Linked DNA regions of Alligator mississippiensis. The protein of the gene in region 3 purifies or fractionates together with the protein of the main gene of each other region. This does not show direct contact. Links are inferred from orthologs where the notes say so. Each region holds a gene or a part of one and is shown on either strand. Other genes may lie near its edges.

What was found.
Region 1: the proteins of MTNR1A (region 3) and GNAI3 purify together in Homo sapiens (tandem affinity purification; 3 studies listed by BioGRID and IntAct, with this or other methods). This does not show direct contact. The link is inferred for Alligator mississippiensis from reciprocal best matches to the Homo sapiens genes MTNR1A and GNAI3.
Region 2: the proteins of MTNR1A (region 3) and GNAI2 purify together in Homo sapiens (tandem affinity purification; 3 studies listed by BioGRID and IntAct, with this or other methods). This does not show direct contact. The link is inferred for Alligator mississippiensis from reciprocal best matches to the Homo sapiens genes MTNR1A and GNAI2.

Annotation. Positions count from the first base shown.
Region 1 is NC_081837.1:34,291,850-34,302,280, reverse strand, and holds the start of GNAI3 (guanine nucleotide-binding protein G(i) subunit alpha-3), read right to left. Parts: upstream 4,915-10,431; 5' UTR 4,827-4,914; coding exon 4,709-4,826; intron 1-4,708. UniProt on the Homo sapiens protein: Heterotrimeric guanine nucleotide-binding proteins (G proteins) function as transducers downstream of G protein-coupled receptors (GPCRs) in numerous signaling cascades.
Region 2 is NC_081835.1:43,289,097-43,299,762, forward strand, and holds the start of GNAI2 (guanine nucleotide-binding protein G(i) subunit alpha-2), read right to left. Parts: upstream 4,885-10,666; 5' UTR 4,766-4,884; coding exon 4,648-4,765; intron 1-4,647. UniProt on the Homo sapiens protein: Guanine nucleotide-binding proteins (G proteins) are involved as modulators or transducers in various transmembrane signaling systems.
Region 3 is NC_081825.1:68,921,595-68,932,828, reverse strand, and holds the start of MTNR1A (melatonin receptor type 1A), read right to left. Parts: upstream 4,607-11,234; 5' UTR 4,455-4,606; coding exon 4,280-4,454; intron 1-4,279. Other genes in the region: uncharacterized protein LOC132248557, read left to right, coding at 10,998-11,132.

The DNA.
Region 1 (10,431 bases), on a different chromosome or scaffold from region 3:
GGACCCCTTCCACAAACTGGGTTGAGATTTAGATACAGTTCAAAAAACACACTTCTATGAACCTACTTTGGTGCACTGTAATCTACGCTGACTGCTCATTTGTCGGAAATATGGATTCTGTCCCAGGAAAATCTACATAGAGATGCTGACCCCAGATCAGTTGTCACACCAAAACATCTGCTTTGTGTACACAAAAAAGACAAGACTAGTGGCAGGGTATTTCCCCCACACGTGGTCTTCAACTTTGGAATTTGGTCAGAAACACCAAAACCTTGTTTAAATTTCAGAGCACTAACTGACACTTCTCAGGCTTTGCCAAGAAGCAAAAAATGGCAAGAGGAATCTTTAGAGAGCGTGGCACCATTCCTTCCAATATGCTTGTTTGGTTGATTGGCTATGTGACGTGTCTTAGGATAGACTTACCATTATAATTATTTTCTACAAACTACATTTTTCTATTATGTTCAAGTGCCCATCCAAGTACTAGGGGGTTTTAAGTCAAAACCTGTAATTTCAACAGGTTAATATGCATTTTAAGCACAAATATTGGATGCGCCTGCATGACTCAAGTCCTAAAGATGCCGTTTTTCAACACTAAGTTCCATGGGCAACTGGTGCACACCCCACCCCCAGTTGGGGGGGGCAGCCTAGAGTGGCATGAGGGAGGCAGGGAACAGTCCCCCAGCAGCCAGCCGGCAACCAGAGGAGCCAATTTTTAATTTTTATTTGGGGGGGGGGGGGGGGGAACGGGCACAGGCACAAGCACTCCCCATGCCCCTCTACCAACCAGAGTGCTCACTGTCAGAGCGGGCACCAGCGCTCTCGTGGTCGGGGGGGGGGAACGACTCCCCTATTCATCACTTATGTTGCATACAGAGGAATAACATTGACTGGATTCAACAATGGAACTGCCTTCTACACTAAAGGATGTATTTTTGCCACCAATGATTCAACATGAGCTTTTTTTTTTTTTTTCCTTAAGGCAGCAAGGTATTGCACACTAAACACTTTGAAAATTATTGTGCAATGGACTATAGGGCAGCACAAACTGCCCAGGAAGAAATGCCCCAATTTCTATGCTCTCCCATATCATGCAGCTCATCATAACAGGAAAAACCCAGAGTCAGCTAAATCGCACGTCTGTTCCTGCCAAGCAGAGTTTTCCTGGAGGCAATGGAAACAAACTATAACAAAAGGAGGAGTGTTGTGCAAATCAAGAGCTCTGGAGTTCCTCTCTTGTGCGTAGATTTACCATGGCTTCCTCCCCACCCCCCTACCCGAGTCACATTTGTTGTTGGAAACAGGTCAACAATTTCTATCCTGGTGATGAAGACTGGTCTACCCGATCAGTTAAATTATCTACAAAACTGGTTCAAAAGGACCTGTTAACAAGAGTCTACTATATTACATAATTGCCTTCCATCTTACAAGGGCTTGTATGACCTTGGGCAAACCCCAGACTTCAGCTTATGTAGCTTGACAATGGGTGTAACCATTTCCCAACAGACAATGTTGTGAAACTTAAATATAACTGGTAATGCGAGAGCCTCACATAAAAGGAACCACAGAAATAAACATTATATTGTTTTACACCAGTGATCACAAAATAGTCATGAAATGGCTTGGAGAACATGATAAATTGACCAAGCACCCATACTCCTCTGCTGCTTCTGGGGTGTTCTGAATAAGGGCAAAGATAAAGAAACAGAAAGAAAAGTAGAAACCCAAAGAAGCAGTAAATACTGTACCAGAAACTGGCTGTACAGTGGGGGGGGGGGGGGGGGAGAAGATTGGGGGTTTTTTTCAATACTGGAGTCTTTTTTTTTTTTTTTTTTTTGAAAGGAGGCAGGGAAAGTGAATGCAGCTTACACAGCTGTATCTTGTAGCAATTTAGCTTTGTCATCATGCTGGAAGATTCTGTTAAGGAATTGGTTCTCAGCTTTTTTAGGCTCAAGACACCTCCTTGGAAAATGTCAGCTCTTGGTTTTCTGTAGTCAAATTGAGTGAAAACTAATAGAGCCATTCTGTTGCAAAGAACTCAGAAAGACCTCAACAAGTCCAAATGCTTTTAACACCACAGATTCCTATTTGAAATCTCTAGGTTTCACCTTGCAAATCATGTTTGCATGCCTAACTGAATTAACACTGTTTGGCACCCTGCAGCACCCTGGAAAGGATATTAAGGCACCCTACCTGCTGTAACACCCTGGTTGAGAATCACTGTTAATACTGTGCTTGGGAAGAACAAGTAGACTTTGTGCAAATGCAAGCATGCTCTCCCAAACCACAAAAATTCTGCAGAGAAATACTAAAGGAGGCCAGTGTTTTACCAGAGTCAGAAGGTGAGATGGCTCCCTGTGTTCTGTGTCTCAGCCATCACTTCACAATACATGGAAACTGTGTTCTGAAAATAGACTACAGCTTCTCAAGCTTTTTTTTTTATTCCCCCCCACCCCAAGCAAAATACTTCCCCCCCTCCCAGACTTCACTGCAACAGTTTATATAAATAGCCTCAAAGATCTCTTACAGGTAAATTAAATAAAATACTCCCCCTCTCCCCAATCTAGACATTGTACTATTTTTTTAAATGAAAACACTAGGTTTCAAACTATTTAAAATTTACATTTTCCTTCAGCTTTCTGAAATGTTAACCAAATGACTGAGGCCTGAGTACGTACATTTAATCTTAGCAACCGATTGCTTTGCTTTACCCATACATAAACTAGCCCAGATTTTATATACAAAGAACATGTGTTTATAGGATTCCCTTTCGTAACTGGTAATGCTCAAGGCACCACTAAGCTTGCTTCTGAAACCTCAAGGGGGGGGATATAGAAGAACTAGAAGAGGTATAGAGAAGAAAAACAAAGATTATCAGGGGTATGGAAGGGCTTCCATAAGAAGAGAAACTAAATAGGCTAAAACTTTTCAGCTTAGAACAGAGACATTTATTTCAAGGAAGACATGACAAGTCTACAAAACATTAAGTGGTGCAGACATAGTAAATAGGGATTTCGTATTTAATATTCCTGACAATACTAGAACCAGGGGACAGAAAATGAAGTTACTGGGTTGCAGGCTCAAAATTAACAAGAGGAGGCTCTTTTTCACACCGTGAGCAATCAGCCTGTGGAATTCACTGCCAGGAGACATTGCAGAGACTGGTAGCTTACCCCAGATAGAAAGGAGAAACCTCATCCACATTAAGGTGCTACAGAATTAAAGCACAACTATTCCTGAGTAAATCCACATGTGAACACTTAACCCAGAATGAGAGTAACTATATTTGGAGATATTCCAGAGCAGCTATTCATTTTTCCTTTAGAAGTGTCTCTGGAAAGCAGCTATTTAACTGCCATCCAAACCCATGGAAATTCGGTGCCATTTGTGGATCCACCCTGCTACCGACTTAATTGGTTGCGCAGCATTTTCTCTATAATTACACAGGCCCTGCCATGGACTAGGATGACCAGTGAAATATATAGTGCTATCCAAAGCTGTCCTGGGGGGTTGGCAAAACAGGGCAACCGTCCTGGGCAAGTCACATCTGGTGCTATCAACGGTAAACTCCTTTGAGAGAGGCATTTATGGCTGACTGTATTCTACATCCATGGCACACAGGAAAACCTGACATCAGGGATTCTCAAAGTCAGGGTGCCGTGTGATCCTCTGAAGGGTAATGCAAGGGGTGAGGAGAGCAGCAGAGAAGCAGACCCAGGCTGGCTGACCCCCCACCCCCATGGCCCAGGCTCTCTGCAAGGGGGTAAGCACTGTAAACACACAATAGTTTTTAAAATGAGGCACTACTCAATTTACAGGAGTTATGAAAGAGCCCTCGAGTTCAGCGAGGCTGAGAACTACAAGTCAATTTAGACAAACTTGCTACAAACACCGTAACCCCATCAAGCCACCCTCCTCTGCGGGATTTGCAAGTCCCGAGGGAACAAAACCCCTCAGGGGCTGTGAGACTCGCAACCAATTAGCAAGCAGTGTTATCTGCACAAACACGAAGGACCACAGCTCTCAGGGCACCGCTCGCTCACAGCACCGGCTGGCCAAAAACAAGATCAATAGTGCAGGTCCTTCGTAGGAGGACTCTTACCGCCGTCTCTTGAGGAAACCAAGAGTTCAGCAAAGGGATGGATGCAAGGCAGGCTCCTGCCCGTCCCCAACAAAAAATGACAAACTTGAAAAAAAAGCAGCTGATGACAGAAGGGACTCGCGCTAACCCCCTGCTTTCCACGCGGGTCACTGCTGGAAAACCACCTCCCACACCGCTTTTAAATCATCCCCCCAAAAGTAGTGCCTCCGATACATCTCCGGGGGGGGGCCGTGACATGACAGGCGTCACCAGGCTTCCCCCCACAGCTAAACCGCCCCCTCCATCGCCATCCCCCAGCTCCGCGCACAGAACACGTCTCCACCGGGGCAGTTGCCAGCCGGGCTCGCCCGCGTCCTGCCCCCCCCCGTGTCAGCCACTTCTGCTCATGACTCAATTCCTGCCACATCCCCCCCGGCCCTGGCACCAAGTCACCCCAAATCTGGCAGAGAGGGAGGGAGGGAGGGGGGAGCTCCCCTGCTGCCAGATGTCTGGACCTGTGAGGAGCTCGGGGCGGGGGGGGGTCGTGGACCAGCCTGAGGACGGGACAGGACGGGACGGGACGGGACGGGACAGGACGGGCCCGCCGCCATTTCGCGGGTGCCTCACCGAGCAGCAGCAGCTTCACCTCCTTGGCCGCCTTCTCGCCGTCCTCGCGCAGGTTGCGGTCGATCATCTTGCTGCGCTCCACCGCCGCCTTGTCCTCGGCGCTCAGCGTGCAGCCCATGGCGGCGGCGGCGGCGGCGGCGGCTCTGCCTCTCCTCAGCCCGGCGGCCCGAGCTGCTGCGGGCGGGGCGGGGCGGGGCGGGGCGGCCGGATATCCGCTCCGCCGCCGCCTGACGTCAACCGGCGCTGCTGCCGCGGCCTCTGCCCGCGCACCGCATGCTGGGAAAAACACTCGCCCCCACCGCGACCTATCGGGAAATAGAGTCCCGAGCCGTGGCCGCCCACACGCTGCATGCTGGGAAATGGAGGCGTGCGCCCTGCATGTCGGGAAATGGAGTCTTGTGCCAAGCTTTGCCATTCAACGTATGCGCAGGTGGGGACTGGCTCCCTTCTGCCTCCCCCCTGAGCAGGGGGCCCACGTGCTTCTCCCACCCCCCTGCTGGCCCATGGGCACAGTCACACCTTCCCTGCAAGTGGGTGCAGGAAACAATTTCTGGCCCATTCAGGCACCTCCGTCCTGCGGGGTGGGGTGGCCTGGGGAGACTGGACAGGGTTAGAGCCCTGCAGCTTGAGCCAGCAGAAAACCACCCTCCGCCGCAGCCATGAGGGACCCCCGGGGACCAGTGGGCCTGTCCCGCGTACACCTGCAAGAGTGCAGGGCAAGAGGCAGGTCTCTGGCGTGCACAGGCACACCTCATTCGTTCACAACAGCCATGGCACCGACGCAGTCGAACGCCAGGCAGCCTGCCTGCAAATCCTTAGCTTCATCGTGCAAGGGAAGGGTGATAGCTGCTTTGCTGACGCTAAGGCCAGCATGGGCCATACCTTCACCGCAGAGTAAGGCTTGGAGCCTTAAGTGATCCCACAGCATAGGGGTCAGCCTGTAGCACAGGCAACCTGTGTGTGGGGCATGTGGCAGACTGGGAAGCTCAGTGGTAGAGCAGGGAGCAGAGCAGCAGATCAGGGAGTGCAGGGATGGAAGCAGAAAGTGGAGCAGCACACCAAGCAGGGGAAGGACAAGGGATGACACTTGGGAGGGTGTGGGGCTAATTTCTGGCACACCTGCCAAAAAGTTTGCCTCCCCACCTCCCCTGCCGTAGCACGTCACACCAGCACTGCTGACCCCGGCCGCCCTGCTTGCCTAGTCCTTGCTCTTCATGCTTTAGCACTGGTGCGCTAGACCCAGCCTCTCAGCAGCACAGAGCTTGATGGTGCATTAGCTGGGGCCCAGGCCTCATGTTTGTCAGCCTGTCAAACTAATCCAGCTTGCCCAAGTAGAGTGTCCCAGGGGTCGGTCCTGGGGCTGTTTTTGTTCAGTGTCTTCATCAAGGACCTGGAAGATGGCATAGAGTGCACCCTCCGCAAGTTTGCAGATGACACCAAGCTGGCGGGAATAGTAGATATGCTGGGGGATAGGGATAGGATTCGGAGTGACCTAGACCAATTGGAGGCTTGGGCCAAAAGAAATCTCATGAGGTTCAACAAGGACAAGTGCAAAATCCTGCATTTAGGACAGAAAAATCCCATGTACAGCACAGGCTGGGGCTGACTGGCTGGGCAGCAACTCTGCAAAAAAGGACCCGGGGGTTACAGTGGACAATTAGCTGAATATGAGCAAGCAATGTGTCCTTGTTGCCAAGAAGGCCAACAGCATCCTGGGCTGCATTGGTAGGTGTGTTGCCAGCAGGTAAAGGGAAGTGATTATTCACCTGTATTCAGCACTGGTGAGGCCACACCTGTGGACAAGTTGGAGAGAGTGCAGCGAAGGGCAACAAAAATGGCTCGGGAGCTGGGGCACATGACTTATAAGGAGTGGCTGAGGGAACTGGGCTTATTTAGTCTAGGGAAGAGAAGATGAGAGGGGATTTAACTACCTGATTCGAAGGAGGATTCAAAAGAGGATGGAGCTGGACTGTTCTCAATGGCAGCAGATGACAGAACAAGGAGTAATGGCCTCAAGTTGCAGCAAGAGAGGTTTAAATTAGATATCAGGAAGAATTTTATTACTAGGAGGGTAGTAAAACACTGGTACAGGTACCCAGAGAGGTGATGGAAGCTCCATCCTTGGAGGTTTTTAAGACCTGGCTAGACAAAACTTTGTCTGGGATGATCTAGATGGGGCTGATCCTGCCTTTAGCAGGGGGTTGGACTAGATGTGACCTCCTGAGGTCCCTTCCAGCCCTCATTTTCTATGATTCTAGCGCTGGCAGACACCTGCTGTGCAGCACAGAGGGTACAATGTGCGACTGCGTCAGAAGACTCATCTTCTCTTTCCTAGAAGACTGCAGAGGGGTCCAGTACCAGACAGGAACCCTTCCATCTGCAAGAGATTTTTGTCCTGAGTCTGGTGCTAGTAAAAGCCCCAGGCTGACATTGCCAGTGCTAAGAGCCTGAATCCTGTGTGAGATCAGGTACTGCTAGGGTTGTAACATGGCAAGCCTTGTTGCCATGTTGCAACACGGCGGGCCCTTCTCCCCAAGTCCACTGCAGCCCCAACTGGATGAACACTGGTGTTGCTCAGTTTCTGCTGGCTCACACGCAACAGTACTGAGCAAGTAACATGCAGTGGCAACATCACACTCTGTTGTCTTTGGTAACTGGAAGAAAAATGGGCCTGTGGAAAGCAGATCTGTCACCCCTGAGCCCTGGGCTGGGGCCACAAAGTGTTCAGTGCTGAGGTTACCTGCCCTGGGGCCACTCAGTGTCTCCTGTCCTGACTGCGCATCTGGGGAAGAGTCCAAACCAGGGGGAACCAACCTGCAATACACCAAATACACTTTACATGGGACAATGCACTAAGCTACAGCAACTAAGCCACAGCTACAGGTGGAAATGCAGTTAGGAATTCTGCAAGCAAAAGGTCTTCCTTGCCCATTGCAAAATGCCCAAGCCATGCTTTCCTCAAGTATGAACCTTGATGCCCTGACTAACTGCTAGTGTTGTATGCCTTTCCCTAGAGATCTAGGATCTTGTAGCCTACAATGCTTTCAAGCCATCCCTCCCCACGTCCTGGTAGATAACTATGCTCAATTCCACATTAGCAACTGGAATACAGCCCCTTTCTTTTATTCAGAAAGAGGTGGCTGGTTCTGGTGGCTATTCCCAGAACAGCCCCCACACAGGAAATATTGTGGCTGTCACCATCCTTCCCCAATCTGTTCATCAAACAAGAAATGTATTGCCATAAAGAGCCTTCTACCTCCCTCTGCTGCTAAATATTCTCCATGACACCTGGAGCCAGAAGGAAATTCCATGATGGGCTCCTTGGATTCCATAGATTCCTGCTAAACAAGACAAAAGAGAAAGAAATCTGGAGCTATCCCAGCAATGGCTGGACTAGAAGGTGCCTGAAAAGGAGACTACTGGCTAGAGACACCCAAGCTTGGCCAGGGTGAGTAAGTTCTCCCATTGCTGGGATCAATACAGAGGCTTCGAGCAGCAAGGAAGATTTACAATGAGATGGAAACTCACAGAGAAGAGACCAGGCAAGGAGGTTGTGCTAAATGGATAAGAGCTACAGAGGAGAAGACTTGCACACCAGCAATCCTGGTGGGGCACTGAAAAGATCTTGAAGCCCAAAAGGGCCATGCAACACTTGTAAAGAGGGAAGAGCTGTATGCTGACACCCCCACCACTGCTTTGGTCAGCTTATTTAGGAGGCAGGGGAGGGATGTGTGCATCCGGGTGCATTTACAGCATTTCCAGATGCTTTCCTCCAGCCCTGATTGTTTTAATCAGGATGGAGCTCATCAGAAGCAGAGTCTTTCCTAGGAATGATGCCAGGCATGAAAACCCTCATCCCCAAACCCTTTACAAACACTTCCACATCAATTCAGCCACCAGTATGATGCAGTCACTTCTGCAGAGAAGAACTGGTGAGCTGCCCAATGATTAAGGACAGCTGCATCTGTATCCAACTGAAACTGCAAGGTAGGGGAACAGGGAGGGGTAAGTAAACTGCTGGTACTTGACCAGGTGAAATGTAAGCAGGACCCCAGGGACATTGGTTCAGTTCTGAGTCAGAGAAACAGGATCACCTCCAGGTCTGACTTATCCTAGCAGTCTCCCATGCTGCTACTGAGTCCACAGCACCTGTTAGCTGATGCCACCAGAGCTCAAGACATGAGCTGTGCTTGCTACACCCTTCTAGGAAGGCAGTCCCCACACACTGGGCATGGTGGGGAGAGTGCAGGACAACAGAAAGGCCAGGACATGGGAGAGGGAAAAGGAACAGCAACATTGCTTAGAAGCTGAAACGGCAAATGTAGGAACACTTCATGCCTGAAGTGAAATGAAGGGCACTTCATGCCCCCTTATCTAACATCTCTCCCAGCTCTATGCCTGGCCCCAAGAAAGAAATCACCAAAAAAAGCCCTTGCTCCTGCAACGTTCCTGGCACTGCTGTGCTCGTAGTGCCACCTGCCGACTGTGCCCTGGAACTGCAGGTAGAAAAGATGCTCAATCAGGGTGCCAGGGCACCCTGGGGTGCCACCAGATCCTTTGAAGGGTGCCACAGGGTGTGGAGAGATAAGCAGACATCCGTGGGCTCAAGCTTGTCCCTGCCTGGCTTCTCTCTCATCATCACTGCCCAGCCCATCTGCAAGGAGGTCAGCATGGTAGTTTTTTTTAGTTAGTTCAAAAGTTTTTTAGTTAGTTCAAAAGTTAGTTTTGAAATGAGGTGCTATTCAACTCACCAAAGTTATGGGGAGAGCCTCGAGTCCAGTGAGAGGTGCCAACATGGTTGAGAACCACTGATATTGAGTTTAAAAGCAGAGGTCTCCCCCCTTGGAAATCAGCCCCTGCTCTCTTGCTCATGGGACAAGGATATCACTAGGACACAAACAGGAAAGAGTGAACAGTAGTCTCTAACTAGAGAAGGGCCTGTTGGCTAGGAGTGCATTTTCAGGTAGGTGCTAGGGGAAGATGTCAGCCTGCATAGACAGAGCAGGGGAACAGCCCCTTGGGAAAAGAGGACCAGAGCCAGGACAAGCTAGGACAGACTGGCACAGTTTGGATGGGAGGGGAGTTCTGGGTGGCTCAGGGGATGACCAGTGAGCTGTGCAGCTGGCTCATATCCAGACTGGGCTGGCAATGACAATCTGACAATAGTAGGCTATTTGAAATGCACAGGTTGGACACCGTGGCTGCGCCTACACGAGACGCTTACTGCGCAGTAGCTCATTAGTACTGTACAGGAGCGTCGCAGGGCATGAACTGTGATGCGATGCTACTGTGACACGATGCTACTGTGCAGTCAGGATCGCCGTGAAGCCATGTGGGGATGCTACTGCACAGTAATGCTGGTTACTGCACAGTCATTCAGTACTCAGGTATGCAAGTACTAAATGACTGCGCAGTAACCATCTCATGTAGATGCAGCCAGTTTGCTCCAGTTGCCATCTGCTGGCAATCTCAGCTCAGAGAGGTCATCACCAGCTGAACTCCCCTCTCACACAAGGAGGAGGCCCTTACCAGAGAAGTGGAGTGGAATGAAAAGGGACTTCCAGAGCCCTAGCAGTGGTTCCCCAATCCAGCATGATGTTGACAAGACCCTCCCACAGCCACGGGGAAGGAGGAAGAAGGACCAAAGAAACCCTGCGGTCCTGAAAGGAGTGGCTCCTTCCTGGTTCCAGGCCACTGTCCTTCACAGCATCTCCCTTGAGATG
Region 2 (10,666 bases), on a different chromosome or scaffold from region 3:
AACACCTTATTAAAATATGCACTAGTAACAGGAGTTTACTGCTTAGATTCACAATACTGTAACTGACCTGAAACTGACAAGTGCATCTAGAAATTGCAAAGTTACTAGCATTAGCCACAATCTAGACCAGTGATTCTCAACCAGGGTGCCATAAGATCCTGGCACCTTTAGATGTGCAAACACCTACACACAATTCATAAAATAAACCCAGAGATTTCATATATCAGGGGTGTTGGTTGTAGCCATGTTGATCTAAGGACACAGGCAGAAAAGGTTCTTTGGGTAAATGTGATATCTTTTATTAGACCAACTAAAATAGTTGGAAAAATTCTTCTTTGCAAGCTTTCTGGTACGTACACCCTTCTTCAGGCAGAGTGTTTCCCTCTGCCTGAAAAAGGGTGTTTATACCAAAAGGCTTGCAAAGAAGATTTTTTCCAACTATTTTAGTTGGTCTAATAAAAGATATCACATTTACCCAAAGAACCTGGTGTGAGATTTCATATAAGAATCCATGCTGCCAAAAATATTCTGACTTGCTGTGGTCTGAATTTGTTGCAACAAAACATGGCTCTATTATTTTTCTGTACTCCAAAAAATAAGTGAAAGTTAAAAGCTGGCATTTTACAAAGGGTGCCTCGAGTCTGAAGAGGTTAAGAACCACTGATCTAGACAAAAGTATCCTCCATAATTGAATTATTTACACTGGTTTTTGCAGAGAATAGCCTGGGTTTTTTCAACCCCTTCAATTTAATTTTTAAGTATTTTCCAGACATGCCTCATCTTAAAAATAAGGCAATAATGACTCAAGACTTCAGCACTATTTACACTTGAACAGCTGCTTGAAACAATTTAATTTTTCTATCTATTTCTGGCATTAGAAAGCCCACCAAGATCAGAAACATCTTTGGTAAATACTGACACTTCAAGGGGGGGGGAAAATGGGCTTATGTTTGACTCCTCTCCAACCTAAAGGTACAATTTGGGAATAAAATAATCCATTCTACACTGGACATGTGAAAACAAGCACTAGCCATATAGCATGACTGAGAGCAGAACACATACATTAATCATCTACTCGGGGCTGCCAAGACATTTTCTTTTCTTTCATTTTATTGTGACAGGTAACAATCAAGCACTAATGGTCATTTTGGCCCTCCTCCTGCAAACACTTACATCCATACTTAAACTTCACTCATGTGACTAGCCCACAAGCACTCCCCATATGAGGAAAGTTATGACCGTAAGTGCTTGCAGGATAGAGGCCTCTGTTAATGAGTACTATAAAGAATGGAAAATAGTATTATTTATGAATTAGCCATCTGACAGATTTCTAATTTTGCAAACCTAGTATACATTTGGTATTCATTGAAACCCTGACTATGCCTGGAACATATTTGATGGGCGTATCCACTTCATCTAGATGATTTTATCAGAGTGCTAACCATACTACTATACAAATAGGTTTCTTAGAGCCTGTCATCTCTACTTAACACAGGTGGAAATTCAAATACAAAGTGTCAAATGCCTTAGGATGTTATTTTTAGTATTATATGGATACGGTTGCTGCCCTGCATCTTATTTATACAGCAAACTCACCTAGCGAGCTGCAAATCCACAGGCCACTGTGAGCATGTTTATGTTGCAAACTACACAGGCCAACAGATGCAAAACTTGAACAAGAAAAAAAAAATCCAGCATGGGTTTTTGTTTGTACTACTAAACATGCCACACCCACCACATTCAAAAGCTTTAATAAATATTTAAAAATAAATAGGGGGATGAGTATCTTTAAAAAAAAAAAAAAAGCACTACAAGAAATGCAAGTATTGTGTTTCAATTTCTACCAAGTTGCTTGTAAAGGAAAAACAAGCTCTAGCACATTGCACAAGTGAGGTTACCCATATACATGCTTCCATAAACTGGGCTTTTAGACCTTTCCCCAACTAAGCCCCCACCCCATTCTGCAAACAGATCCCAATGACTGAAAAGCCCTTTAAGTCAGGGAGCCATCTTTCTACCCCACAGCCACTGACCTCGATATGAGATCATGACCTAGCCGCCTTAGCCGCCTTGTCAGCCCTGACCATACCAGCACATCCCAAAACCATGGAGAGTTGGATCTATTTTTGCATAGTGAAATACCTTTAAAAAAAAAATCAATTTGTCTGGCCTACTAACAAATATACCCAGGGATTTTCCCTTAAAAGAATGTTAATATTCGTTGTGTGCCAACAATGTACCAAAAAAAAAAAAAAAAAAAAAATCAAGAAATTATGGCTTTGTCCATAAGGCACATTTTAAAATAGGCGATATTATTTATTCAGATGCAAATACATGGCTGCTCAATTTCACCATTGTTTCCTGCCACTCCATTTCCTCTATTTAAAAATCAACATCAAACATTTTCTATTTGCATTGCTTAAACCAGCAATGATTTTCTCTTGTCACACTACTTTTTATATCCTCTTTGCCCTTCACCCCATAATATTTCAGCTTTCCACTTCAAGTAAGTTTTTCTTTCACTATGTGAACATTATCTAATCCTAGGTCAGGTTTAAAAAACTGAATCAGGAATTGCTCTCCTTGGGCATTTCAGAAGCAAAATGAAACCCAATTAGGAATTCTTTTTAAAATGTGCTTACTTCCCCAAAGGCAAAGAACAGAGAGCTGTGAGATAGCTGGGATTAGTATCTGTAAAGTGCTTTGAAGACAGCAAGCCTTATGCAAGTGCTAAGTATTATCCTTATTAACATCAGACCATCCTAAATCTGAAAAGTCTTCAGGCTGGATTGAAAGTTTGCTGCCAACTAAAAAAAGGGAGAGAACAAGCTGAAAAAATATTTTAGGAGCAGTAAACATAGCAACATTTGCTCTGCAGCAAACTGCAGCCAATATCAAGGAGTACTGAATTCACTTTGCTTGTCAGGATACATTTTCCATGCAGCAATACACCCTTCAAAGTTATCCAAAAGGTGCCAAAGTTGAGGCATTTTCTCCCTTGCAAAAAGTATTTCCCTCCATTGGACCGTTATTTTAGCAATCAATGAAAATCAACTGATGACCCCTCCCTGTGGGCTTCCTCCTTCACAAGGGAGAAAGGACTAAGAAAGCAGGAGGATTCGTTTTCAGCCAGTTTACTTTTCTAGTTTGGAGAGAGGGAGGGAAGGAAAGGGGGCAGGGTAGGATAAGAGAAAGGAGGGGCAAGAGAAGCAGGTTTCTTGAGAGACAGTGCTGACCACAGCTGCAGGAGCCCTAGTTCCCACTAACCTAAGATTAAAGAGAGAAACCTACCTACCCTGGCCCTCTTTATACCTCCTGGTAAAGAGAGAATTGTGTGCCCAGTCTGACTGAGCAGAGTTTCAGAAAGGCAGGACTAAGAAACAAATATAGTTTTGCCTCCCTGGGCTGCATTGCCCAGGGGAGGACCCCAACTCACAGCTGGCTGCACTATGCAGTCATCACAGAAGTCAGAGGTGGAATGAGGGCTTCCAATTCCCCCCCCACAACCTTGTCACCATCACCCTCAGCAGCAGGCACCTCCCGCTCTGCCTAACAGGGTGTTCCCTGCCCTCAACATCAACAGCTCATCACCCACATCAGCACAAGTGGCACAGCTGGGAACCAGGCACTCACAAAGCTCTCTCCAGGACTGTTCATACAAGGGGGCGTTGGGGAAAACAGTGATGGGAATGCAGTTGAAGAGCAGGGGAAAAGCATAACAGACAGACAAGAGTATATTTGACCAGGGTCACTGGAAGATGAATATGGACAGATGAACAACGTTTTTGGAAGTGGGGAGAAAAAGAGAGTGTGGTGTGTCTGGATGGCTAGGGGGATATGTGGACACACAGGGTGGTATTTCAGGATGTGGATACGGTATGCTGAGGTGGAATGGAGGCTTGCTAGAGGGACAGGCAGCTGGGTGCAGAGGGACACCAGTGCAACCAAGAGAGAGGAGGTACCTAGGAGGAGCAAGTTCTTTACTTGAGGAACACAATGGGAGGAGTTGTTTTGGAGGCTCTGTCTGGCCTGAAAGTGGGGTAAAGAAGGACCTAATGGACACCATGGGGGTGTATGAACCAGAGTCTCAGGAGCACACTGAGTGGCGCGTATCTACAGGTTGTGAAGGACAAGTATGTTATTGGGGCAATCTATGGGAACTGCAAGCTGTACTTAGGGAGAAGTGAACAGGTACAGCTAAAGGCTTCATCTTACCCAGCTGGGGGCTGTCACTGGCCAGCTATGGGAGTTCACTGGAGACTGCAAGCCATGTGGGTGCATCTAAGAAAGGGGAGGGGTGGGGCTAGAAGTTTATCTGTGAGGTTGAAGGGATGCAGGTCCCCAAGCCTGGGGCATCAGGGGGTGCTTATTAGGTGCCTGGATTTGGGATGCCCACGGCAGCCTCAGCGCAGCTGAGCTGCAGCAGTGGGTGTCAAGCTCGGGGTGCCCATGGAGGAAGCGCTCAGGGGAGGGTTTATCCAGCAGCCAGGCTCGGGGCACCGCCTGGGATGCGGCCGGGGGGCGTGCGCGGCGCGGGCCGGGGCGGGGCGCAGAGGAGCTGGGGCGCGGGGCACAGGCAGGGCCGGGGGAGGCCGCGCCGGATGGAGGCAAGGAGGGCGCGGGCCGGGGCCGGGGCCGGGGCCTCACCGAGCAGCAGCAGCTTGACCTCGCGGGCCGCCTTCTCGCCGTCCTCCCGCAGGTTCTTGTCGATCATCTTGGACCGCTCGGCGGCCGCTTTGTCCTCGGCGCTCACGGTGCAGCCCATGGCGCCGCAAGGCTGGGCTGGGCTGGGCTGGGCCCCGGCCCGGGCGTGCGGCAGCGGGGGCGGTCAGCGGCGCGGCGCAGCCCGAGCCTCCGGCTGCCGGCGGGGTCTGAGCCGCTCGCTGCCGGGCGGGCGGGGCGGGGCGGGCGGCGCCCGAAACTCCTGAGTCAGCGCCGGGCCCCGCCCGTGGGCGGCCCCAGGCCCGGAGCCGCCCCCCGCCGCCGCCGCGCTCCCGCCACCCGTCCCGCGTGCCGAGCCGGGGGTAGGCCCGCCCGCAGCCGTGCCCCGAGGACAGGGGGCAGCTGGGGCCGGGGTCGCAGCAGCCCGACGGGGCTCCCCCGAGCGGCGGGGAAGCGCCGGCTCCCTGGGCCCAGACCCACGAGGCGGCCTGGGCCGTGGTGCGCGGCGGGGGCAGGGAGCAGAAAGCAAAGCAGGGGGTCGGGCGGGGGCCGAGCACTCGCACAGCGTGTGGGGCCCAGGTCGCCTGCCAGCAAGGTTGGCCCCAAACATCAGTCTTTGGCAGCTGTGCCACAAGGTCAGCCCGGTGCCCTCCGCGAGTGTCACATCCACTCCCTCCCCTGTCCTCCCACTCCCTGTGCCAGCTGCTGCTCTGCTCCCTGCTCTACCGCGTGTCACACACGTAGGCTGCCCATGACACTTGTGGCACATGCCACAGGTTGGCTGCCAGGATCTAGTCAATCAAGACATTCATCAGGGCAGATCACATGCCCTGTCAGCGACACCCTTCACACTTCTTACCTATTAAAAAGGTGCAGGTGCTGTATTCCTGATGCAAACCAAAGATGCAGCTCTGTTCACTTGGCGTAGACCCTAGATAATGCCTTAAATAGGGAAGCAACATAAGCACATGCAGAAGCCAATGATTAGAACGGTTCTAGCATCTCCACTGATGCCATGGCTGGGTTACAACAAGCAGGATTTGGAAACCTGTGAATGGGCAGTCACTTTTCAAACATCAGCGCATAACCAGAATCCAAGTTCTGCCTATTTCAGACACTAGACCTATCCATTCAATGGCAACGTACAGCTAGATCTGGCAGCAAGCATGACAGAAGAACCTTAGATCTGCTTTATACAAAGCTTTGTGTTAATGTAGCTATTTCATATAGGGGTTAGCTTTTCCTGAAATAGCTATAACAGTACAGGCCCTAGTATTGACAGAGGTTTGTTCTTATAAAAGGTGCTTAATACCCCCCACCCCATTCTTCTATAGCCTCCTCCTGCTCCTTCCTCCCCTAGCCGCAGAGGCTACCCAGCCTGGCTCCAGGCTATCTGTTGTCTCCATTTCCCCTCCATTCCAGAGGCCAACTACATAGCCATATTCTCCACATCTGTACAGCCTCTCCGTTTTCCCAGCCCTGAACAGACTCACTACCATGCCCAGGAATTCTTTCCAAGCAATCTTATTTTCCAATGTAAAATTTAAAGATGACAAACCATTCCCCTGCTCACTATAGCTGCAGTTTCTAGAGGTCTGGCATTGCTTTAACTGCAAGAGCCCAGCTCCCATTATGTAGCCTTTTAAATGAAAGGCAAGGATTTTGGGGGGTGATCTCTTTTATTAGACTAACCGTATAGTTGAGATAAAGCTAGAGAAGCTTTTGAATGCTTTGCTTTCTTAAGTTTGTTTAATTTTATCCCGGCTATGTGGTTAATCCAATAAAAGATATTATCCCCCAAAAATCCTTTTCTCTTGCATAATTCCTGGACCATCATGCTAACAGTACTATAGTCCTTTAAAGTCATTACGTGAATCCCCTCACCCCACACATGAACATATAGCTCCTTTGCAGGTGGATCTGATAGCTGAACTACACTGGGTCCCTGGAACCAAACATTATCTTGTTATACATATACATAGGAAGGTATGTTCCATCACTTTTATACCAGTTCACCAGTGTCCATACTTGAAGGGATTGTATCATTTTAATTGTACCAATGTTGCTAGAGATGCAACTTTCTAATATAGACTAAATTTAAGAAAGAAAATCAATGTCTTGTCTGGCCAGTCTGAGCACATCTCAGATGCAGTCATCAGACATGCTATCAAAACTGAGCCCACCATACTAGCCAATCAATGAAATTTTTTTGGTGAAGGAAAATACTTGATACCTTTAAAATATTACAACATACTGATTACACCAGCCCCTAGAAGGCATTTGGGCTAAACTGCAAGTCAACAAGAAATCCAGACCAGTTAGATTTTCCTTCTAAGATTCATTTGCTTCTGCTCATCATAGAAGCATAATTTTTCTGTATGAAATGTCAGTGTCATATATGTATAGTGAACCCCAAACACAGAAAGTAAGGCTCAAAAGAAAAGTGTTGTCAAGGGTCCATCAAATTGAGGCCCAAGAGAGAATTTTCATACATGCTTTGTTTATTTGTTAACAGTCTCAGTTTCAGATTTCCCACACCAGTGCCCCTACAGTTTTGATTGCTGGGCAGAACAAACAATTCATTTATTATTATCATCATCATCATCATCATCATTATTATTACTGTTGTTGTTATTACCATACCACATAAGAATCTTTCATGGACCATGTTCCCACTGTCAGGCACCGTAAAACACACAGAATATAAAACTTTTCCCCAAAGAGCTTACAATCTAAGTCCAAGACAAAAAATGACTATAAGCCTGCAGTTGGAGAGTACAAAGTGACAATGACAGGTAGTCATCTCAGCATATCAGCAGCCAGTCAATAGTGGGACTCCCTTTTCTAGCCTGGGACCCCCAACTGCTCTACCTTTGAGAAGCATCTTTCCCATTTAGCTATACAGGAAACCCTTGCTATTCGTGGGTTCGGCATTCACGGTTTCTAATATTCACAAGTGCTGAACCCACATTTAAATACACTTTATACACTTACTGGAGCTCCTCAGGTACTCTGCGCTTGCTGCCGCTGGGCTCCTGCCGCCACTGCTGTGCCCCCCCATCGCCACCGGGAACACTGCGTTCATGAACACAGTGCCTTATTCGCAGATTTCGCCATTAGCGGGGGATGAGAGAACATATCCCCTACAAATGGCGAGGGTTGCCTGTATACTATAGAGTAAGGTGGTTTTAACTCTTTTTACCCTGTCTGTGATCCCAGTCTGAGAACCCATGCTTGTCACTGCTTGCCAAGAGAAGCCAATTATTTTTTTGCCCAGTCTTCTGTTAGAAACTAGGATACTCACAGACAGTATACTTCCAACTTTTTTTTATTGTTTAAAATTGTTCAGTAGCCAAGTCTTGTAAGCAATTATTTGCCTATATTATCAGTTTATTATAAGAATTCAATATTTCAAGCTGCACTGGTTGATTTGGATGGGACACATAACATAACTCATGTGATATTGTTTCTATTCCCAAACTGGATGAGTAGTTCTCGTAGAATTTGCAAATAACCTGCCACAGTCATTGAAAATTCACTGTTTGCATCATCCTTCCTGCCAAGAAATTCATGTGCTAGAGTATACAGGGAATGCAAATGAACACACACGCGCGCACACACAAGCATGATCATAGGGAAAGCAAATTCTAGTCCCCGTGCTGCCCCCCTGCACTTGCAAGCCCTGGGGTAAGGAGTCTCCATATTACATGCCACCCTGGAGACTGGGCTATGGGACACCTGTAGGTTGCTGCTCTAAACCTCCTAGGGTCACTGTTAATATATGCTCAGACTGTTGTGATCTCTAGCCAGCCCAGAATCCGGACAGTACAAAGATAAAGCCACCTTGGTTCCCCGTTCCCATTGGTTCCTAAGAGGTGCATCTCAGGAGCAAACCCCAGGCATCTGACCAGAGGCCCATCTGAAAGTCCCTTCTTGGTGATCACAGGTAGGCCAAGAAATGAGTGAGGCTTCCTTTCCCTCTGCTCCTAGTTGGTTTCATGAGATCAGCCTCACTTCACTGGTATGTGCTTAGTACCTTTCCACCCTCTAGTGGTGGAAAGCCAAAGTCAATTTGGTCACTAGCTAGCAGAACAGCAGGGACTTTCATTTTAGCAGAAGGAACAGGGAGCAGGCCAGAGAGCTATACACCTAGACCTGCCCTGTTGATGGTGATTTGTGAAGGGTGTTCAGCTTGTTTGTTCAGGTGGATGTGCTAAGCTCTGGAAGAGGGAGTCTGGCTGGTGACTTTGCTATTTTACTCTCCGTGTCCCAGAAATAAGGCCAGAAAGCTGAGGTGATTCCTGGTGCTCATTTCCCCCCAGAAGAGTGGCCCAAACTCTGTTGAGCAAAAAGGGAATTTTGTCTTAGGAAAGTCTCTAGGATTTGACTCTAGGTTTTTCACTTGAGGTTGTGTGGCCTAGTGGACAGATCCTTGAACAGACTTAGGTACTCCAAAATCTGCTACTATCCTTTTGGCTGACCTTGGGCTACTCAGTTCACCTTGTGCCTCAGCTTTCCAACCTCCAAAATGGAGCCAATGCTACCAGACTCCTTTCTAAGATGTCTAAAGAGCAAATGAAACATTAGGTATCAATACAAAATGGAATTAAACACTTTGTCCCCTGCTTTACTCATCACATCCCAACAGCTTCATATTGATAATACACTAGATACCTCCTCCAAAACACCTACCAATGTTCAACATGAATGATCTGCATGGGCAAAGGTTTATTATCAAACAGCACTGCCTGATTAATGGCATTATTTTAATTCTCTGCTACAACAGCTGGATCCAAGTTCCTAACAGAGGAAAGGTTAACTGGAAATGGCCCTTGCAAACCATGCAGAGGTGCCCTGGCTGCAAGCCTCATCTCTGATCTCAAGCAGGCCTCACAGTTTGGCCTGGGACCATTCTTCATGCACTTCATTGGAAGGAGAGAACTCTGCCATGTGGTTCATCAGGATGAGAGAGTTTCCAGCTCTCTGAAGCCCCTTCCATCCCCAAAGGGGAAAGTATCTCTTATTGAGGGCAAACTCAAATTTCCAGTATAATAAAGAGTTGTTTATTCATTGCAGCTGGAGAAAATACCAACTGTAACCACTAGAGATGCACTGATACATTGGTCCGGTATCTGATCAGCACCGATATAAAGAAAATTGACTGTATTGGAAATCAGCCTGGTGTGGCTAATAAATGGCCTGTGCATATGCACAGCCACAACACAGCATGTATGTGGCGAGGAGCACAGCCCAGCGACTTGGAGAGCTGCGTCCAGCTGGTAAGTATGTTGTGGTGGAAGGGGAGGGAAGGGGTGTGAGGGGGTAGATCAAGGTCCCCCACAGTGAGGTAGGGAGTGAGGCTGAGGCAGGTGCTGCCCGGCTGGGGCAGGGCACATGCAGCACAAAGACATAGCTCGTCCTATGGCTGCGCACATCCTGGGAGAGCATAGGAGAGGGGGATGTCCCCAGATCTGGGCAGGGCAGGCTGCAGCTGTAGGGCTGGGGTCGGGGTTGTGCTAGGCTCTTCCTGGCAGGGGCTGGGCTGGGCTGTGCTCAGCTCAGGGCAGGTGGCAGCATTAGTAGAGCTACAGTGAATTCTGGGTTGGCTGCTGCAGCTCTCCCCCATAGCTCCCCGCCCAGCACCATCGCTGCCTGCCCCGAGTGCAGTCCAGGCCCCCCCCCCATGGTGCATGCAGCGGCAGGAGCCACAGCCCCTGGATGAGCCACTTGTGGCTGTCCCACACCCCGCCCTGCCCCGCCTGTGCAGCACCTGCCCCAGCCCCACTGTCTCCCTTGTCACAGGGGCCTCAATCTGCCCCCCCCCCAACCCTTTCTTTCTCCCACAACAGACTTACCAGCCAGACACTGTTCTTCAAGTTGCCAGGCTGCGTATTAGAAATTGGATCAGTATTGGCCAATAGCTGTTTTTTTAAAGGAGGCATAACAGTATCAACCCAAACAATCTACCAGTGCACCCCTAGTAAGCACGAAACTAAATATTGTG
Region 3 (11,234 bases):
CAAGCCACCCTGACTGTGAAGTAGTGCCTCCTGATGTCTAGCCTGAACCTAATCTCAATCAACTTGTGGCCATTATTCCTAGTTACTCCAGGCAGTGCTCGGGGGAACAGGGCCTCTCCCAATCCCCGCTGGTTTCCCCTGGTAAGTTTATAAACGGCCACTAGATCCCCTCTCAGCCTTCTCTTGTGGAGGCTGAACAAGTTCAGGTACCATAGCTTCTCCTCGTAGGGCCTGCCCTGCTGACCCCGATCATGCAAGTGGCCCTCCTCTGGACCCCCTCGATGCTGTCCACATCCCTCCTGAATTTTGGTGCCCAGAACTGGATGCAGTATTCCAACTGTGGTCTGACCAGTGTCACATAGAGGGGAAGGATCACCTCCTTGGACCTGCTCATGATGCATCTGTGGATGCATGACAAGGTGTGGTTAAGCCTACTGACAGGGTTCTCACATTGCTAGCTCATGCTCATCTTGGAATCAGTAATGACTCCAAGATCCCTTTCTGCCTCTGTACTGACAAGAAGGGAGTTCCCCAGCCTGTAGGTATGCTCCTGGTTCTTTCTCCCTAGGTGCAGTACCCTGTATTTGTCAGTACTGATTCCCATCCTATTTTCATCCACCCACCCCTGTAACCTGTCCAGATCTAGTTGTAACCTGTCCCTCCCTTCTAGCATACCTACTTCTACCCACATCTAGGTGTCATCCATGAATTTGAACAAAGTGCTTTTCACCCCCTCATCCAAGTCACTGATAAAGATGTTGAGCAGTACAGGCCCGAGGACCGAGCCCTGGGGGACTCCACTGCCCACAATCCCTCCAGGTCAAAAATGACCCATCCACCACCACTCTCTGGGTGCAGCCCTCTAGCCAATTGGTGACCCATCTGACTGTGTAGGCATCAATGCCACAGTTGCCTAGTTTTTTAATGCGAATGGGGTGAGAGACAGACAGTGTCAAAGGCCTTCCTGAAGTCCAGAAAGACTATGCCCAACACAACACCTGCATCCAAGGATTTTGTGACCTGATCGTAAAAGGCAACCAGGTTAATCTGACAGGACCCGTGCCTAATGAACCCATGTTGGTTGCCCCTAAGCATAATGTCCCTTGCTGGTCCCTCACAGATGTGCTCCTAGATAATTTTCTCAAAGAGCTTCCCCAGGACTGAGGTAAGACTAATGGACCTATAGGTGTCGGTGTTTGCATGCCTCAGCGGCGTATTGTGCATTAATTCCAGCCGCAGTAGGAAATTTGGTGGCATAATGAGCCTTAAATGACTTGGGGCACAGCAAAATAAAATGCCTTCAAGGAGTTTTACTTTGCTGCCCCTACAGCTGCAGAGTGAAGCACTGGGCTCTGTGCAGCTCCACGGCTCTGCAGAAAGTCCTGCAGACAGCCCAGCAGCAGCCTGGGAAAGCAGTTCCGCCCAAGAAAAGCAGTGAGCCTGATCCCCCTCCCCCAGAGCCTGCCTGAGCTGCACAGGGGCCCTCCATGGCTGCAATGCCCCCTGGGACCACCCAAGCCAGGTGCCTATGGATGGGTGCCACTGGGGGGGGGCAGGCCACCACTGCTGCAGAGGGAAGCACCAGCCTTCCCTCCCTGCAGCCCAGGGACTGCTCTACTGGAGAGGCAGGTAAGTCAGCAGGGTGTGGGCACAACATGGAGGTTTAAAATCAGCCCTAAATTGAAGCGCTGTTCTTTAAAACCCACCGCGTCAATTTAGGGCCCTGGTTTCATCTACACACGCCCATTCTCTCCTAAAATTTAACTGTGAATTTATTTTTACTGTCTATCCAGTTGTTACACCTTTACTGGATCAGTTACAGCACTATCTGTTCCACCGTCTAACCAACTAGAATTTATGATCATAAGGGTACCCTTTCACCTGATCTATATGAGTCAGCTTTAGCCAGTAAGAGGAGAAAGGCAGAAGAAATCTGACAAGAGTGAGCATTAAAGTATGAGTGGGAATGTAACTGGGCTGTTGTAAGATGCAGAGCACAGAAATGAAGTTTCCAAGAGAAAAAAAAAAAAAAAAAAAATCAATGATTTCATTTTACCCTCCAGATAAACAAACAACAAAAACAGGCACAAAAAATAAATAAATAAATAAATCACAGCACTTGGTGCAAGTCTACTCCTAAGGACATCCAAATTGCTGATTCTCAACTGAAAAACTGAGGTACATACCACTTTTCCCACACACCCCCACCAGGAATATATCCTTCTTGCAAAAATCCCACAGATATAAACGACCTCCTCTTCCACCCCCACCCTTCAAGTAAATCAAGGAAAACTCATTAATTTGTCTTGGAGTTCTAAAATCTGATTATGATCTTGCACCAGTTTTATACTGTGCAACTCAACTGACTTCGGGAGTGATTACATCAATCAAGCAATAGGAGAATCCAGCCCTAAATTTTTAGATCAGTGGTAAACATACAGAAAAGCAGCTTCCTTTCATCTCAGTCACATTTACTGGCATTCCCTATGTGACTAAATGACAAATTAAAACTGCAAATTATTGTCAAGTAACTTGCTTAATTTTAGAAGGAAGTATGAAACTGTTCACACAGTATGAGTTCAGTTGTCTGGATTCAGATATTTTGCCAAGCTGTAGTACGACCAGGCATCTGACAGGCTCTCCCTTGAGCTGATGAGTTCAGTGGCATTAAAACAGAATTTCTCCAAGTTGCTCTGTAGTCTTTTACAACAGTTGAGACACAGGAAAAAAAAAAAAAAAAAAAAAAAGGTTGCGATTTTGCTGTATTTAGCAGGGCAGATTCTTATTTTTCCTTTTCCAGTGAAAGTTTCAAAAGAACTGTAAGTGCCCAGACACTGTATAATATGCACAGCAGCTGGGCTGACCTGATAAAGCAGAATGACTGCGGAAGTTAAGAACATAAGAATTGCCATTTACTGGCTCAGACCATAGGTCAATCTTGCCTAGTCTCCTGTGTCACACAGTGGCAAAGAGGAGATGTTGAAAGGGTATTGTACCTGGATGGCTGTGACACACATACAACAACAAGGAGTCAAGTCACAGTGATTGCTGTGTCAGCCATGTATGAAAATACTATGGCTACAGCTATCAAACACAAACTGTTACCAAGCTGTGAGCATAGGTACGATAAAGTGGATGGGGAAGGTCCTAAGTAAAGTTGGAAGCAAAAGAAGTGGAAAAGTACTGCGAAACACCAATAGAAGACAGACAGCACCATATACACATGGAAAGACAAAGCAGGAAAATGAGACACTAGCCAGACTTGCTGCTAGGATGCCAACTTGGCATGTGTGAATCCCAGAGCAGCCTTGGAGCCTGACTGACTCTCAGGACTGCTCTGACACTGAAGCTACCCAAGCATGATTTCTTGTAGATTGCCTATTTAAATTCAATGGCCTGAGCAGAAGACCTCCTTCACCCACTACCTAAAAGGTTAGGCAACAGGTATGACCAGGATGTTTTCTTCCCCCGCACTGATGCTCTCTCACTTGCAGCCTCCAGCATTTACTGTCTAAATTCCAATTCGGAGGCCGTGCCCCTCACTCCATGCTCAACAGCTACCAGGGCCCCTTTCCTCTAAGAATTTGCCCAGTCCCTTGTTTCGTTCCTGATTTACCAATAATCCGTAAAGCATGAGGGACTGATTTGGCAAATTATGGCTGGGCGGGGTGGCCTGGATAGGGATGATCCAGGCAGAGGGTTGGACTAGATGACCTGTGGAGCTCCCTGCCACCCCTACTGTCTGACTCTACACATTTGTTAATGAGTCTTAGATACCATGCATTTAGTTCAGTACTTCCTAAATAAAGTACTAACTGCGCAGCACCTACAGTTACCACGCAGCAGTGTCCATACACTGTTATTTGGTGGCGCTTACAGCGCATCAGACTACAACGCTGTGCACTAGGCTATTCGCAGGGTCTGTGCGCAGCAAGCATCTCGTGCATCACCCCACTGCCCTCACTTTTCCTGCCCCCTTGGAAACACCTTTGAGAGGAAAGGAGCTGTTCCACCTGGGGGCTTGGTGCCCCGGGCAGAATTTCACGGGATGGCTGCACGGAGGGACCGGCACTGAACTGGGGAAAAACCGGAGGGGAAAAGTTGCGCCGGGCCGGGCAGGCTGCTCCGCCGCGCGCCTCCGGGGCAGGGCGCCGGCCTCCGCGCCCCCCGCCCCGCGCCGCGCCGCGCCGCAGTCCTCGGTCGCTAGGAGGGCGCGGCCCTCTGCCCCGGGCCCCGCGGGACCTGCCCCACTCGCTCCCCGCCCCGCCCCTGCCCTTACCCGCGTTCCTCAGCTTCTTGTTCCTGCACACGGACAGGATGACCAGCACGTTGCCCAGGATGTCCACCACGATGGTGAAGATGAGGATGGCGGCCAAGGTGGAGGCCACCCAGGGCGGGCGCTGCAGCCCCAGCCCCGCCAGGGACCCGTTCAGCCCGGACGCGTTGGAGCGCATTGCCCCTGCCCGGCTTGGCTTGGCTTGGCTTGGCTTGGCTCGGCTCGGCTCGGCTCGGCTCGGCGGCTGCGGGCTGAGCCCCGTGGCCGCGGTTGCGGCGGGGCTGCCTCCCCCGAGCCCACATGTGCCGGGGCGAGAGGCTTTTATAGCCTCCCCCTCCCCGGGCCACGTGCGGCACCCGGGAGCCCCTTGCCGCCGCCGCGTAGCAACAGCGCCCCCCCGCGGTCCCGGGCCGCAGCAGCGCCCCCGCCCGCCCCTGCCCTCCCTTCACTCACTCCCGCACGGGCCGGCGAGGCAGCCGCGCCGCTTTCTCCGCCGCTCTGCAGTGCCAGGCGGATCCCCTGAGGGACAGGGACTGCAGCGCGGTCGGGCCGGGGAGGAGCTCCTCAGGACTGCTGGCTCTGCCGGGGCAGGGGGCGCCCCTACACCCCGCAGAGCACCAGTGCCCCTGGGCTGTGGGGTGGGCTGGCTGACAGCTAGACCTTGGACCCCTTCTGCAGTACAGCAGAAGCACAGTGGGATCTTTGGGCCCGGTTACACCTCGCACTGTGAGCCTCACAAATGCTGATGGGTGATGGTGGTAGCTTGGAGTTTGGAGCAGTCGCTTGCTTGGTCTAAAACAGGGGTAGGCAACCCCCGGCAACAGGTGCCAGAGCAGGGCATGCAAAGGCATTTTGGCTTAGCACGCACCTTAGGGTGCACGGTGGGAAAGAGACAGGGGATCTGCTGCCACTTGGGCTGCCAAGCATCCCGCATTGGGCGGAAGTCTACCGGAGTCGGCATCAATCTCCCAGTGACTATTGAAAACAATCTGGGAGATGGATATTGTGAACAGGTTGCACAGTACAATGAATGACATTATGCATTGGCAATGCATAGGGGGTTCACACAGGTGCACGTGCACCCGCTGATTCTGCCACCAACATCGCCGGCAGCATCTGCAGGCAGTCCACGATTGCTGCTGGCCACCACCGACACTGCCAATACTGTATGCAGGTGGTCACCGGTCGGCAGTTGGCCCCCCACTACCGACAGCACCGTGGCTGCCTGCAGGAGCTCCCCGCTTGCTGCCGCCCCGTTCCCACTGCTGACAGCGCAACCACTGCCTGTGGGAGCTTGCTGTGCCCCCAGCCTCCAAGGGCATATAGTATTCATAACATTATATCATGCTGGGGGAAAAAAAGTCTCCCAGAATAGTTTCAGTTGAGCTGGCAACCCTAGCTACCACAACAGGGATCAGGCTCCTTGCAGCTCCCCCACCGCCTGCCCCTGGCACGCCAAGTGGAGGTTGCAGGGTTTTTTGGGACTGCCCAAAAATGTTGCCAACCCCTGGTCTAGAAACTTTCTCTGATTGTCCCCTATCTGCAAAGCTGTGACTTGCCACTAGAGGCCTGGTGAGCAGGGAGAGGACTAGGAGCTGTACCTGTTGAGTTGCCACTAGAGAGCTGGTGAGCCAGAACAGGCTCCCATCCCTGCTCTCTGGTCAGGGGTGTAAGAGATCCTGGGATACTGGAGATCAACTTGGGTGGTATATCTGTGGAGATGGAACAGAAGCTGGGTAGTGCAAATCAGAGATAATCCTGCCCTAGAGTGGCATAACTTTGAGCTGCATAGTGAGTGCTTAACGCCACTGTAAGGTGTTAGGCTAGGGACAGACATTCAAAAAGCTGAGCCTGAATTGATTCAATCTTTGAAAGTAAGCCTAACCTGCAAGGTTTGAACTGATTTGGAGGTGAATAGACATTCCCTTTTCATTCCAGAAATGCAGGCACATGCCTGCGGTGGCTCAGGATAGAAGCTGGGAGGTGCTAGAGCAGCCCTCTATTCCCTTCTGCAATGCTGAGCTGAGCGAGTGCATGGCCAGGCCCTGGCAGGATGCTCTGATTAGGGCAGGGTGTAAACCCGCACCCTGCGTGCACAGTCCCAAGCTTTTACCCTGCTGGCTGCTCAAGGGGCAGGAGTGTTCCCAGACCCCAGTCCCAGGCTAGCACTCTGAGGCAAAGGCGGGGGGGGGGGGTGCACTGCATGCATCTGTTGATGATACTGAGTTTTTCAATCTCTCTGTCCTTTCTTCTTCGTACCATCTGCAAACCTGACAGATGAGGGAGCCAGCAGAGGGCTGATAACACAGCATTTATCAGCCCATCAACAAAACAAAAGCCTCTCTCATTAGTTCAAGCTTTTCTTAAACAACTTTTTCAAAGGAAGGAAAAGAGGGATATTACCAGCTGACCTGTTGATTAGCTCTAAAAAGCCCTATGCAGACACTGTTCTGTGTGCCTTTGTCCTGTCCCAGTGAAGTTGGAGACACACAGACACCTCTCAGCATTAGCTAGCATACCACATGCCTAGGGCCTGGGGTCCAGGCTGTGGGAGATGGGAGGGAGGAAGGGAAGAATCCCTGCTTGAGCAGCGAGAGAAGCCAGGCAGACCCTGCTGTGCCTGCAGTCTCCCCCACAGATCTGGCTAGGGAGCAGAGGGGTGGGGCCAGCCCTGCTCTGTGGAGCAGAGAGCACAGCCTAGCCCAGCCCAGCCCAGGGCTGCAAAGCATCTTGGAGGCTGTGGGACTCTGGTTTAACTTAAACCACGAAAGGGTCTGGAACAGACATTGCATAAACCAGTTTGACCCAAATCAGTTAAGTCTGTTCAACCGGCTTTATCTTAAACCAGTTTCAGACACTTTGAAACTGGTTTACGTGCACTGAATTTATGTTCTGTTACAGGTTTATACCAGTTTCTGATCACTTAAACCAGTGTATGTGTAATGTCTGTCCCTAGCCTTAATGCTCAGACAGTCCAAGTGTTATGAGCTCCAGGAGTCACCCAAAATTACCACGTAGCCAGGCCCTAATGCCTGATCCACACAACTGTGCCTCCTGCTATGCCACATGTACATGGCAGGAAGCGCACTTGTGGGATCGTGAATTAAATCCAATCTTGCCTTATTGTAAGTGTAGGGAGGGGCCCAATCCTGGGCTTTTCTTGCATCAGTGAGACTCAGGCACCCATGCCTAGGAACCTCCATTGCTGAGGGGGCCCCCAGCTGCAGGGGCCACTTGAAGCCAGGACTGAGAGTCCCCACAACTGACGGGGTTCTGGGTCAGCTGCACACGATGTGTATGAGGAACATAAAGCCCTACCAGATGCAGGACTCTCAGTCCCAGCTGCAGGTGAGGCGCAGCAAGGACCAAGAACATTGTGTGGGTCAGGGGTTTCATGGACCCCCAAGCCTTGGGGATCATGGCAGCTGTGATCCTCAGGGCTCAGGGGTTGCGCCCCTGTGGCTGGGAGCCCTCTCACCTCACAGGCTCGTAGCTGTAGGGAAGACCCTGCTACAGGTACAAATTAAAGCTTGATAGCAAACCAGCTATAAAAGTTAGTACACATATGCAAGGTCTAACTTGATAGCTGGTTGGAGCTTTTTATCATATGATAGCTACTCTTCATGTGTAGCTGGTCTCAAGGGGCATTTATACACGTACTTTTGTCTGCTCTGAGGCGCCAGAAATCCAGCGTGTCGGAGCAGACTCAATTAATCGAGTCTGCAGAGCACACAAGCTGATGTGCCCAACGCTGCGTCACATGGTTTTGTATAAATGGTGAATGCGCATCAGCTTGCAGAAAATAGTGGCAGTGCACTTTTGAACTAAAACACCTTTGATGTGTTTTCGTTCAAAAGCGTGCCTCTGCCATTTTCTCAGCGTTGACATTCATGTCACCATTTGTACAAAAATATGTGACAGCACCAGGTGCTTTTAAAAGTGGTGCATACATGTGTACAAATGCCCAAGGTAACTGCCCTAATGACCAGTTAATCACACAACACCTGTAATGTGTAGAGAGGGCCTTAAATGCTGAAGGCTGCAAGTGGGAGAGGAACAGTAGGGAAAAAAAACCCTGGTCATACCCAGTTCCCTCTCCCTTTCAGCATATCCTCTCTGTCACTATGTGATACTGGTAACTGGGCAAGATGGACCTATGGTCTGATCCAGCAAATGGCCATTCTTACAGCTGGCACCCACTGCCTCATCTCTGCATGGAATCCACCATGCTGGCAGCTCCTCCTCTGCAATTCAGCCTGCCCCAGCCACGGCTGCAGGGCATTCAGAGGCAGAATGTCTGACTCTTGACTCAGCCTCTTTACTTCCTTCCACAGGAGCACAGCAGACAAAGTAGAAAGATGTTGCCAAACCCTAGTCAAGTGACCTGCAGATATAGTGGATGCTACAGTAAGCACCCCTCATTCCATGCAAGCCATGGTCTTCTTAATTCCCTTCATTATGTGATAGTATGTCTCATAAGACTAAAATGCCTGAGCAAATCTATAGAACCTCAGCTGTGATTGTCATTATGGCAGTTCACACTGTGGTTTGCTAAATGCCTCCAAAGAGGATCAAGCCCTGAAAGTACTTGCACTGTCCAAGCAGCCATAAAATATATCCAGGCACTAAAATTATGCTTGACAGGTTAAGCAAGGTTCTCTTCTGCAATTGAAGCCTGCCAGGGGAAATGGGAATAGGAGCCTTAATGTTTTCTGTCCCTTTGGAGTGGGGTGCTGTGTTCTAGTTTAGTGGTTATAAGTCCACCTTGTGAAACTGGGGAGATCACTGCTGTTTTCAAATTGCATCGAAGGCTCTGTGTATACTCATCTGGGGTTAGGTTTTATGATTATACTAGAAGTTGCAGATTTGGCATGCCTTGATCCTGAATAATCAAAAGTATGAAGCACAGCTGTGTCTTGCAGATTCATGCACCCATTTATGTAAGGAGTCACAGAGCTTACAGGGAAGCTGCATTAACATTAGGATGAGCCAAGTCCTAGGAAGTGTGCGCAGCTTAGTTTGCCCTGTTGTTGATCTATCATTTATAAAGAAATGCAAATAAAAATTAACCTCCGGCAGCCCCAAGACATTCCCTGTGCAAGTGCAAGGGTTTTTTTTAATGTCTTGACAAGAAAGTTGTTAGAGACATGGATTTTTGTGGGTCATATCTTTTATTGAACCAATTACATGGCTGCAATAAAGTTTAAACAAGCTTTTGAATGCAAGGCATTCTTCATCAGAGTGGTATTTGCATTAAAATCCTCATCGGAGGGAGTGGGAAAGGGAGTGTTGCTGCCTTGCTGAAGCCTCATTTGCAACACAGCTGGGAAGGCAGTCAGAGCGTCTGCTTTTGAGGGCCATTGCTTAGGGCCAAGGAGTCCAACTGAAGGTTGCAGTCACTGAGATTTCTCAATGCCCTGTGGGATCAATCCCACAGAGATTTCTGAGCTGGATTGCATTGGCCTTACACAGGGAAGCTGCCAGTGCACGTAAGTGCTGGAACATTCATCTTTTATCTCAGGATGCAGAAATAAAGGAAATAAATGCCGTAGGACAGTTGCATTTACGGGAACACAAAAATCCCGGGACCATGTGGTGGGAGAAACCTCCCTAAGGTCTGTTGTCTAGCTGTAATTTGATTGACAGACAATGCGGGTAAAGAAAGACAGCTGTTTATTTGCTTGAGCAAAGACCATAAAGCCAGCAAAAGGCAAAATGCCCCCCCCTCAAGGGTGAGGCGATCTTTTATACTTCTTACAACAAAGCAAGACTATATGGTTAACAAAAAGCAATACTTGGGGCGGTGCTCTACAAATCTTTGTAACAGCATATTTCTATTAAGCTGAACTAGCACTTTTTTAAAAGCTAAAAGTTAAGTAACAGTAACATTATGTTAGCAAAACCTTACACAGTAGAAGATACTTCTCAAGGACACAACTAGTAAGCTCAAACAATGGTTTCTCTGTCTTATCTTACTTCTAGCTGTAGCTGATTTTTTTTAGCACACAGACACAGATTCACTTTTTAACTCAGAAAATGCTTGTTGCAGTTAAAATGATTACTTGACACAAGCAAAGGCCTAGCTATCATTCTGCCTTGTGGTCAGCTGCATTACTAGGCCACAGGTCATGCCTTGTATTCAGCTGTAAAGCTAATACTTCTTAAAAATCCAAATTATTGTAAACCTAACAGTATGCTTTCAGAAAACTATTCTATTTCAGGGCAATGACAAACCTGCGGACTACAACCACCCTGATGCTTGAAAGCACTCTTTCGTTAAAAATATGACTATGCTTTGATTTAAATTCTGAAGAGCAAAACAAGGTCTCTGCCCTGGTTATTGGCATTAGACAAGACATACTCATCCATGTCACTAAGCCAAGCTGGTTCTGAAATGGTTAGTCCCCTTTCTAGATGAAGCAATCCAGCCCACAATGCTTACAAATAAGAACTCATTAAGGGAAATGTAAAAAATACAGCACAGATTGGAGTCAGAGCTTTTTAAATCTTAGGGATTGGCTAGAGATCTGACAGTCAAGCCATTCATTCAAATAGTCTGGGTTATTCAAAGTGTAAACTGCAAAACCTGGTGCCGCCTCAGAGCCTGGCACTGTGGCCTGCATCCACATGAGGAGTTGTCAATATGATTAACACAACAAAGCAAAGGCTGCAGCTGGATAGATTAAGGTGGGTAACAGGTTTAGGAAAATGCTTCCCTGAGATGATTCTGCAGCCAGAGAAAAGTGAATGTTTCTTTGTCGGGGAGGGAAAAATAGGTCAAGAAGCAGAAGGAACTGGAAGGGGATTAAAAGGCACAGAAGAACAGTGTGAGCTGTACTTTGACAGCAGACTTAAGGTGCAAGTATACAGGGTGGCTCCAAGCCTAGTGTGCAGAGCTACTTTAAAAGTTGCATTTATGGGTGTTTTATTTGGGAGAGGCAGGATGGGAGGGTTCGGG